Linked DNA regions of Oryzias latipes. The protein of the gene in region 2 interacts with the protein of the main gene of each other region in a pairwise test. Links are inferred from orthologs where the notes say so. Each region holds a gene or a part of one and is shown on either strand. Other genes may lie near its edges.

What was found.
Region 1: the proteins of ataxin-3 (region 2) and c6h16orf70 interact in binary tests that used the Homo sapiens proteins (3 or more experiments, as listed by UniProt). The link is inferred for Oryzias latipes from reciprocal best matches to the Homo sapiens genes ATXN3 and PHAF1.

Annotation. Positions count from the first base shown.
Region 1 is NC_019864.2:26,104,942-26,108,329, reverse strand, and holds part of c6h16orf70 (UPF0183 protein C16orf70 homolog), read right to left. Parts: coding exon 3,317-3,388; intron 3,189-3,316; coding exon 3,145-3,188; intron 3,051-3,144; coding exon 3,001-3,050; intron 2,778-3,000; coding exon 2,719-2,777; intron 2,503-2,718; coding exon 2,430-2,502; intron 1,273-2,429; coding exon 1,177-1,272; 3' UTR 1-1,176. UniProt on the Homo sapiens protein: Plays a regulatory role in autophagic activity. In complex with BCAS3, associates with the autophagosome formation site during both non-selective and selective autophagy.
Region 2 is NC_019880.2:12,489,118-12,493,247, forward strand, and holds the start of ataxin-3, read right to left. Parts: upstream 2,867-4,130; 5' UTR 2,823-2,866; coding exon 2,778-2,822; intron 2,309-2,777; coding exon 2,144-2,308; intron 2,067-2,143; coding exon 2,022-2,066; intron 1,938-2,021; coding exon 1,852-1,937; intron 1,765-1,851; coding exon 1,698-1,764; intron 1,623-1,697; coding exon 1,535-1,622; intron 1,462-1,534; coding exon 1,332-1,461; intron 1,258-1,331; coding exon 1,100-1,257; intron 1,009-1,099; coding exon 852-1,008; intron 712-851; coding exon 656-711; intron 510-655; coding exon 463-509; 3' UTR 1-462. Other genes in the region: E3 ubiquitin-protein ligase UBR1, read left to right, coding at 2,973-3,017. UniProt on the Homo sapiens protein: Deubiquitinating enzyme involved in protein homeostasis maintenance, transcription, cytoskeleton regulation, myogenesis and degradation of misfolded chaperone substrates.

The DNA of each region.
Region 1 (3,388 bases), on a different chromosome or scaffold from region 2:
TGCAGCTTTCATCAAAAAACTAATACTGAAAAATGTCTTCTCTCGCCTGCCTAAAACCTGAAACTGAAAGGAAAGAGCTTAAATTTGTTGAAGAATATCCTTGATGGTCACAGAAAACTGAATAAGTTTCATGTCAGACAAAATGTAGGAAAAAACGATGGAGCTCAGCGAAACATAAGCTCAAATCAGAGTGTGTTCAAAGCAACACTTTACATTAACTAACAACAACAGGGATGATAACTAAACGTTAACAACAACTTCTGATCTTCCTCCTTTCAGAAAAATGGATTCAGCTCCAGGACGAAGCTCGTTCACAACAGCAGGACGAGTTGAATCGTTAAGAAGGCGTTACCGTAGCGACAACACAAGTCAAGACTGTAGACTTGACACACAAAAAAAAACACCCCAAATCTTTGGCTTTGGCATTTGGCAAAGAAAGAAAGGAAACAAGAGGATCGTGATCTACCAGTTAAATGCAACGATGAAAACAAGTGGGGGGTTGGGGGGGAAGGACAAACGCATACGTTGAACACTGAGGATGTCGCACAATCAAGTAAGACGGTGTGTTTTAGTGCAAATGTAACTGTGAACTTCAGGAAGCGGCGAGTTGAAACATCACAAACTTGTGCTTATGAGTCTCCTTTCATTCAGCAGTCACACCAAAAAAAAAAACAGAAGCAAAACCACACACACAGATGTTTGTGAGCAGGGTTGTTCAGCGTGCTTTGTGTTTACAGACGCCCCAGGGAGGAGGAGGAGGAGGAGGACGAGGAAGAAGGAGACCCCCTGTTCTGGATGAGATTCTCCCCTCTGTGACTCTCAGTTTGGCTCCAATGGTTCTTCTGTGGATCTGGAGGTCCATTGTGGTTCAGCAGAGGGGGCTGACCAGTGGTGTGTGTGTGTGTGTGTGTGTGTGTGTGTGTGTGGTCTGTTAAATGATCCTCAGCAGATGAGATCCCAAGGACCTCACAGAACAGGAGCAGGTGAGCTCTGCGGCGCCGTGGCGCTCTGAACCGTTAGCATGGACCACCCCTTCGCTCTCAGGGGTCCTGTTGACCCAGGATTGGAAGCTTCTCGGTTTGGTGCAAACCCTCTGAGTTGAGTCGCGTTTTCGATCAGGGCTGCTGGGCTCAGAATGTGGCTGTGGATGAGAAACTCCAGGAGCACCCCACTTGTTCAGTGGGAGCTGCCGCTGGACTCAGCTCGGGCTTGGCTGCTCGTCCGAGGAGCACCGTAGAGGGTGACTGAAGCTATGTGGTTGTTCTGCATCACCTGTGGAGCAGCAGACACAGGAGTGACGTCACACAACATTTGATGAGCACGTCTTAACCACCCACTCCTATGAAAATTGTGGGTTTTTAGGGTGTTTTTAACATGTTCTGCTAGCATTTTTCTCATAATTAAGGAAACTTTAAGCTCGTGGGTTGACTGAGGGGGGGGTCTGGGGGTTCTTCCTCTGGAACATTTTGAAAATTATGGCTTTTTATGTGCATTTTCCAGACATCTGGAGCATTATTTCAGCTTCTAAAACCTTTGAGGAAGGGAAGTAAATTGACACCATCAATGAAGTGTTCCATTTTTTTTTTCATTTTCCTTTATGCACTTTTTTCCCCCTAATTCTGCCCCCAGGTAATTAATTTTTACATTAAATCTTAACAAAAAACAGTCTGAAAGATGGCAGCCATTATGTCATTGAGAGTGAAGATGCAGGCTGCAATAGTGGCTGCTATCTTTGATATACCGTGGAGTCATGTCTGTTATTAAACCTGTGAAATATCCTTTTTATGTATTTATCCACCACGTCTTAATATCCAGTCCATTAAAAATATTGTCTGACATTAAATCAGTTTGTGGTCACCTGCTGACAACACGCGACATCAGACCATCACAGCACCATAGCATCAGTGTCTAACAAACAGCTGTTTCCAGATCGACACTTTTTTATTAGGAGACTTTCTGTTGCTGCTGCGAGCCCAGCAGCTTCATCCTCCAGTTTGGTGTGGATCCCACTGCTTCATCAGCCAAACGCCACACAGAGGTGAATTACAGGAGGGGGTAGCGCCCTCACGCCGCATGCTCTTGTGTACCTCGCGCGCGCACACAGTGGAAGAGGACATTTATGCTGTAGCCCTTTAACTTTTACTCCTCAAACAGAAATAAATGCTTGCAATTGGCGAGTGCTCAGCACTGAGCGCTCATTTTTCTGCGGGGCACTAAATGAAACTTCTGTTTGTCGTCAAAAAGTAGGCGGGGATTACTTCACTTGCAGGCAGTGAACCTTCGCCGGGTGCCGGCTACTTTTAAGGCTTTTAAAGCAAAATAACTGGCATATTCCCTGCTGTGATATCAGCCAAATAAAGAAATATTCAGTAAATCTGCATGTTTTTTGCCATCAAGGCTCTGCAAACCCAACAGAAACAGGAACTGACCTCAAAGATCATCCTCTGCAGTCCGAAGCAGAAGGTGGAGCCAAACGGGTTGGTGTTATTGGCCGATGACGACCTGGAAACAGATGCCTGTGAGCATGCTCAGTTCTCACCGCCTCCCTGGCAATAATACCATCTGAATTTCGCAGCTTTAACCCTTGTGCTATCTTGTGGGGTCCAGATGACCCCGCTCCCAACGATAACGTGCCTTGGAGGCACGTTATCATTGGGAGTGGGGTCATCTGGACCCCACAAGCTAGCACAAGGGTTAAAGGGACGGAGATTCCCCTACCTGTGTAGCACCACAGGTTTCTCCATAGGGTGACCCAGCAGCTCCTGAATCTGATCCCACTAGGAGAGATTCAAAAAAAAAATCCTCAACAGCTGATCAGACCAACTCCAAGATGTCTTTGACTTTCACGTTAGTTTTTTAATGACAACAGGGAGCATTAACAGACAGATATTCTCTTCCTGGCTCAAAACAACCAGAGGACAGGAAACCCCAAAACTGGATATCTCAGTTAAGCTTTCTGGAACCGGCACCTTTGGACCAGATAATCTCTCCAGAACTGACCTTGCTGTAGGTGGTTAAGATGCAGTCCTCAGCCTGAGAATCAGCTCCTTCTAAAACAGGAAGCAGAGATCCCCGTATTAATTATCTTTAAACCTCACGGAAAATATCAGTCCAGATCAGACTCATGATTTCAAATCGTTCCACCTTTTTTGATGATGAGAGGAATCCTAAAGTCACATCGATGATATCTGCATCAAGAGAGCAGTGAAAAAACATGAGAGAAAAACAAGACGTGTCTGATATTCTAGAGAAACATTAGGACACAAGCAGGCAGGGAAAAAAGAAAATATCAAAGAAGAAGAGCTCAGATACTTACATATTAAAGTTGTAATGTCCTGGGTAGTTGGTATGGAGAACAAACTTCTTCACCAGGTGAGTTGTTGAGTCA
Region 2 (4,130 bases):
CACAAAGATATAACGAATGATTAAAACATTGGTCTCTTATGGCTTTCATTCATTCATCTTGTTAGAATCCAACTTCATAAAAGTTAACCCATTTTTCATTCATTTTCTCTTTATGTTTTCAAAAAAAATTAAGACAACAAAAACCAGAATGTAAAGAAATAGAAGGCTCTATGGTAAAATAAAAAAAGGCCATTGAAAACTTGGAATAACTACATTATGAGTCATTTTTAAGTCCAGCGATCACCCTTTTCCCCCATCTCTGTACCACACTGAGGTCTGATTTGACCAAGTGCTGCCTTTCCCTTGCCCATCAGCAAACCCAGCGAAGGAAACCATGTGTCGGCCTTCTGGCTGCAGTATGTTTGCGTTTGCAAAAGGTTAGAGAATGGAGAGAAGCCAACCCCTGTACAGGGTTTCAAGTTCAGAGCGTTGGTAGACAAAAGCAGCAAAGCTTTCACAACTTTATTTGGTGTCTTTTTCTTGTTGGTCCTCCATAGAGTTGGATTTTTCTGGTGTTAGGGGCAAAAAATGGATACTTGGGTTATTGTTCTGACATGAAAATAATATCTACATTTTCATTCTGATATGCAAAAAACTGTATATAATGGGTGTTATACATATAGGGTGTTTTGAATTTTAAATAGAGTTTACTCACCAGAGTCACTGGTTGCATGACTTTCTAACTGTCGTGGAATGCTTGGTTGTGCTTGCCTGAAAGATAATACGAAAGTCTGGTTCATAAGGCACATTTCTCCTTTCTGCTCACTAAAAAAAGACCTTTGAACATGTGTACACATATTACTGAAAGTTTTTTTTTTTGTTAAATTCAAGTTTTACAGATCAAATCCTACCGATCAAAATAAGCTTGTCTCCTCTTCCTCAGCTCCTCAGCAGTAAGTGTCTCATTCTGGCCTGGTTTATCTCCACATGTAGAACTCTGTACAGTCCGTTTTTCGGATTTCACATTTCCCACATCAGACTCTGAAGATTTGTTACTCATGCCTGATCCTAGTTAAAGGAAAAACGTCAAAAAAAGGGTTAAAAAATTCCAATATAATAAAATATTTTCAAATCAGCCTGGAGCTTTGAAATGGCACACCTTGCATGCTGAGCTGAATGGCCCTGCGAAGGTCAGCTTCTTCATCTTCCACATCCATTTCCTGTCTGCTGAGTGCCAGAGCTCTCTTTAGTTCTTCATCGTCATCCACAGCCTCATCTGATACAACGTCCATTTGCCCCCGAGCAACGGATCTGCTTCTAAAAACAGACATGTATTATGTCCAAACAAGACCTAATGTAATCCAAGCGAGGACCATTTTCCACAAACCTACCCTGAACTTGTCTGAGCCTCATCCTCTCCAATTAGCCTGGGCCGTTGCTGTTGTTGAACCCGCATTATTCCGAGAATCTGCTCTGCTTCACATTCGGGAAGATTCCCTTGGATCACAAATATGGAATATCCTGCAGAAATACATTATTTTTGTATTTGTGTACCAAAAGGTGCAATAGTGTAAACAAGTCGGCTTTACAATACCTTCTTGTTGTAGCTGTGCCAGGAAAAGAGCTAAATATGTGTCTGATATCAGCTCTGGTCCAGTCAAGAGTGAATTCAAGTTAAACCACTGTAATAATAATTAAATAAGTAAATTAAGCATCAACACACGTATTGAAAAGTAAAAAAATAAAAATCGACATACCTGTTGTCCAAGCTTGCGTATGGTGAACCAATGCTCCTTATAATTGCAAATGAAGGCCTTCTCGTTTCTTAAAGGCAAAGACATCAAGTCAGGATTTAAATGTGGGTGTGGGATCGACTTGCTATACAAGGAAGTCTTGAAAATACAACTTTACATTGGATTTATCATCAAGCTCTGGTACTCCCGGCTATTGAAGAGAATTAACTCCAATCCCCACACTCGGAGAGCATTGCTAATTACCTATAAAAATCAGTCATAAGGAGTGATAAGACAATCTTGTAAAGTTGATTGCTAATGATCATATGACAAAGCACATAAACATACTTGTATTGAAAAGAATCCGCTGTCGTCCATGTTTCCAGATGGCTGCTATAAAGTTATTATTAAAACAGTTGTTTAAATACATGTACCACTGCAGAAAACATCTGTTACCTGTCCCCACTTACCTGTAAGAAGGTCCTGTACTCTTCACTACCCATACCTCCTTCTGCCATTCTCATTCTCTCCTCTTCGTCAAGCTGATGAGCAATTGAGGACAGGTCTACAGGGGTAAAATACTCCCCCTGCAAAAGGTTGTTGAGGCAGTGCTGGGCACATAAGGAACCCTCTTGCTGAAAACAAAGAATAACTGCGTAAACGTATTGAGAAAAAAAAAGGTCTCCACTTTTTCAAAATGGAGTGCAAAAACTTACAAAACCTTGGAGATAGATTATACAAAAAGCTAAAGCAACTACAAAAAAATAAATAAAAAATAAATAATGTTTCAAACATCTAAACAACGAGCAACATACAACTTTAGTATCCTTTTTCTTTAATAATTATTGGTGGAGTCGAAGTGTACAATAAATACCGCAAACTCGTTTTCTAACTTCATTCTATTAGCTTTTAAAGAAACTTAACAACACCTGGTTAGCAAGTGAGTTAGCATTAGCAGTCTGAATAAAGCCAAAATAACATTAGATTGAAGCTAGCACCGGCTAAACACAAACTCTAAATAAATGCTAAGTGTCTTTACTCTCTCCGACTACACACGAGTAAAGGCGTTCAGTTTAATGTCACAAGTAAATTGTTTAAACCTACTTTTTCATGAAATATGGAATCCATGTTTAGATTTCTGTCAAACATTCAACTTTGACCCCTACTCCTGTAAAGATGGGAACCAATCTCTATTAGCGCCCTCTATGGATCATTTTGGAGTACAACCTCGCTCCGTTCCAACAACCGAAAGGATATTGGTCACACAGGAAACCCCCCTCCTTTTTCGGCAAATGAAATATGGCAGAGAGTAAGAAACACCTTGACGGACTGGAGCTCAGTAAGGTATGGCGTTGCAAATTAAAAACTGACAGTTATTACCGAGATTCGGATATTTGACACGTACGCGTGGGGTTATAAAATGCTACACAGAAAACGGGCTCAACGCGCAGTGACGGTCCTAAAGCTAGCAGGCAGAAGCTGGAAACGGCTAACCGCTTTACTAGCTTAGAGATGCTACAAAACAGGTTTATTTTTCGGTATTGTTTAGCATCAGCGATTTGAATCTTCGTCAGAAACGCGATCTGTTTGCAGATGTGTAGGTCAATCTGATATTTTAGTACTTAGTTTTGTCCAAAACCCCGTTTTACGAGTTTTAAACACTGAGCATCAGTCCTGTTTTTTTGAAGAATTTAGTGAAAAAAAGTTGTATCTTTCGAAAAATGAATGTGAAACTGAACATTTATTACGAACCATAATTTTATCGTTTAAATTTTCACAATGATCCTGCCAACTATTTACATCCCGATTTGTTGAGCTAATCTTCCTTCACACTAACTTATCATTGGACTTTTATTATAAAGTTTATTATATCCTAAAAGGAAAGCAGATTTGGAGAATTCAGTAACAATGTTCTAGCTTTTCTATATACACATGATCATATGTTGTCTGTAGTTCAAGGCACTAAAGACTAGAAAGTAGGGGTGTAACGTTAAATTTTAACCATGATTTGATTCATATCATTATATTTTTTAGTTGCTGATATGATTCATAGGTGATATTGGTTCATTTTGAACGATACGATTTATAGACTGAAAATCGATTCAGGACATTTTAGCCAAAAAATCAACCAGTGTGTGACTCGGTGATAAATACCTGGGTACTGTAGAGCAGGTGAAGGATTCTCCTGCAAGAATGTGTAAATTAAATAAATAATAAAGTGTGAATTAAATATGTGTACAAGCAAACAAGTGAACAGGGATTAATGGCAAATCCATTGACATTTTAGTTTCCTAAAGTTCAGCCCACAACAAAATAATCTAAACAGAACATTATTAGAACATTCTACCACACTTTATGGTCACATGTCTTTGTAAAAAGTGTTTCCACACATTGGACTGTAATTATGGATTGATCCTTTTTTGCAGCCATCACATGTGTGTTGTCCTCTGTGATGAC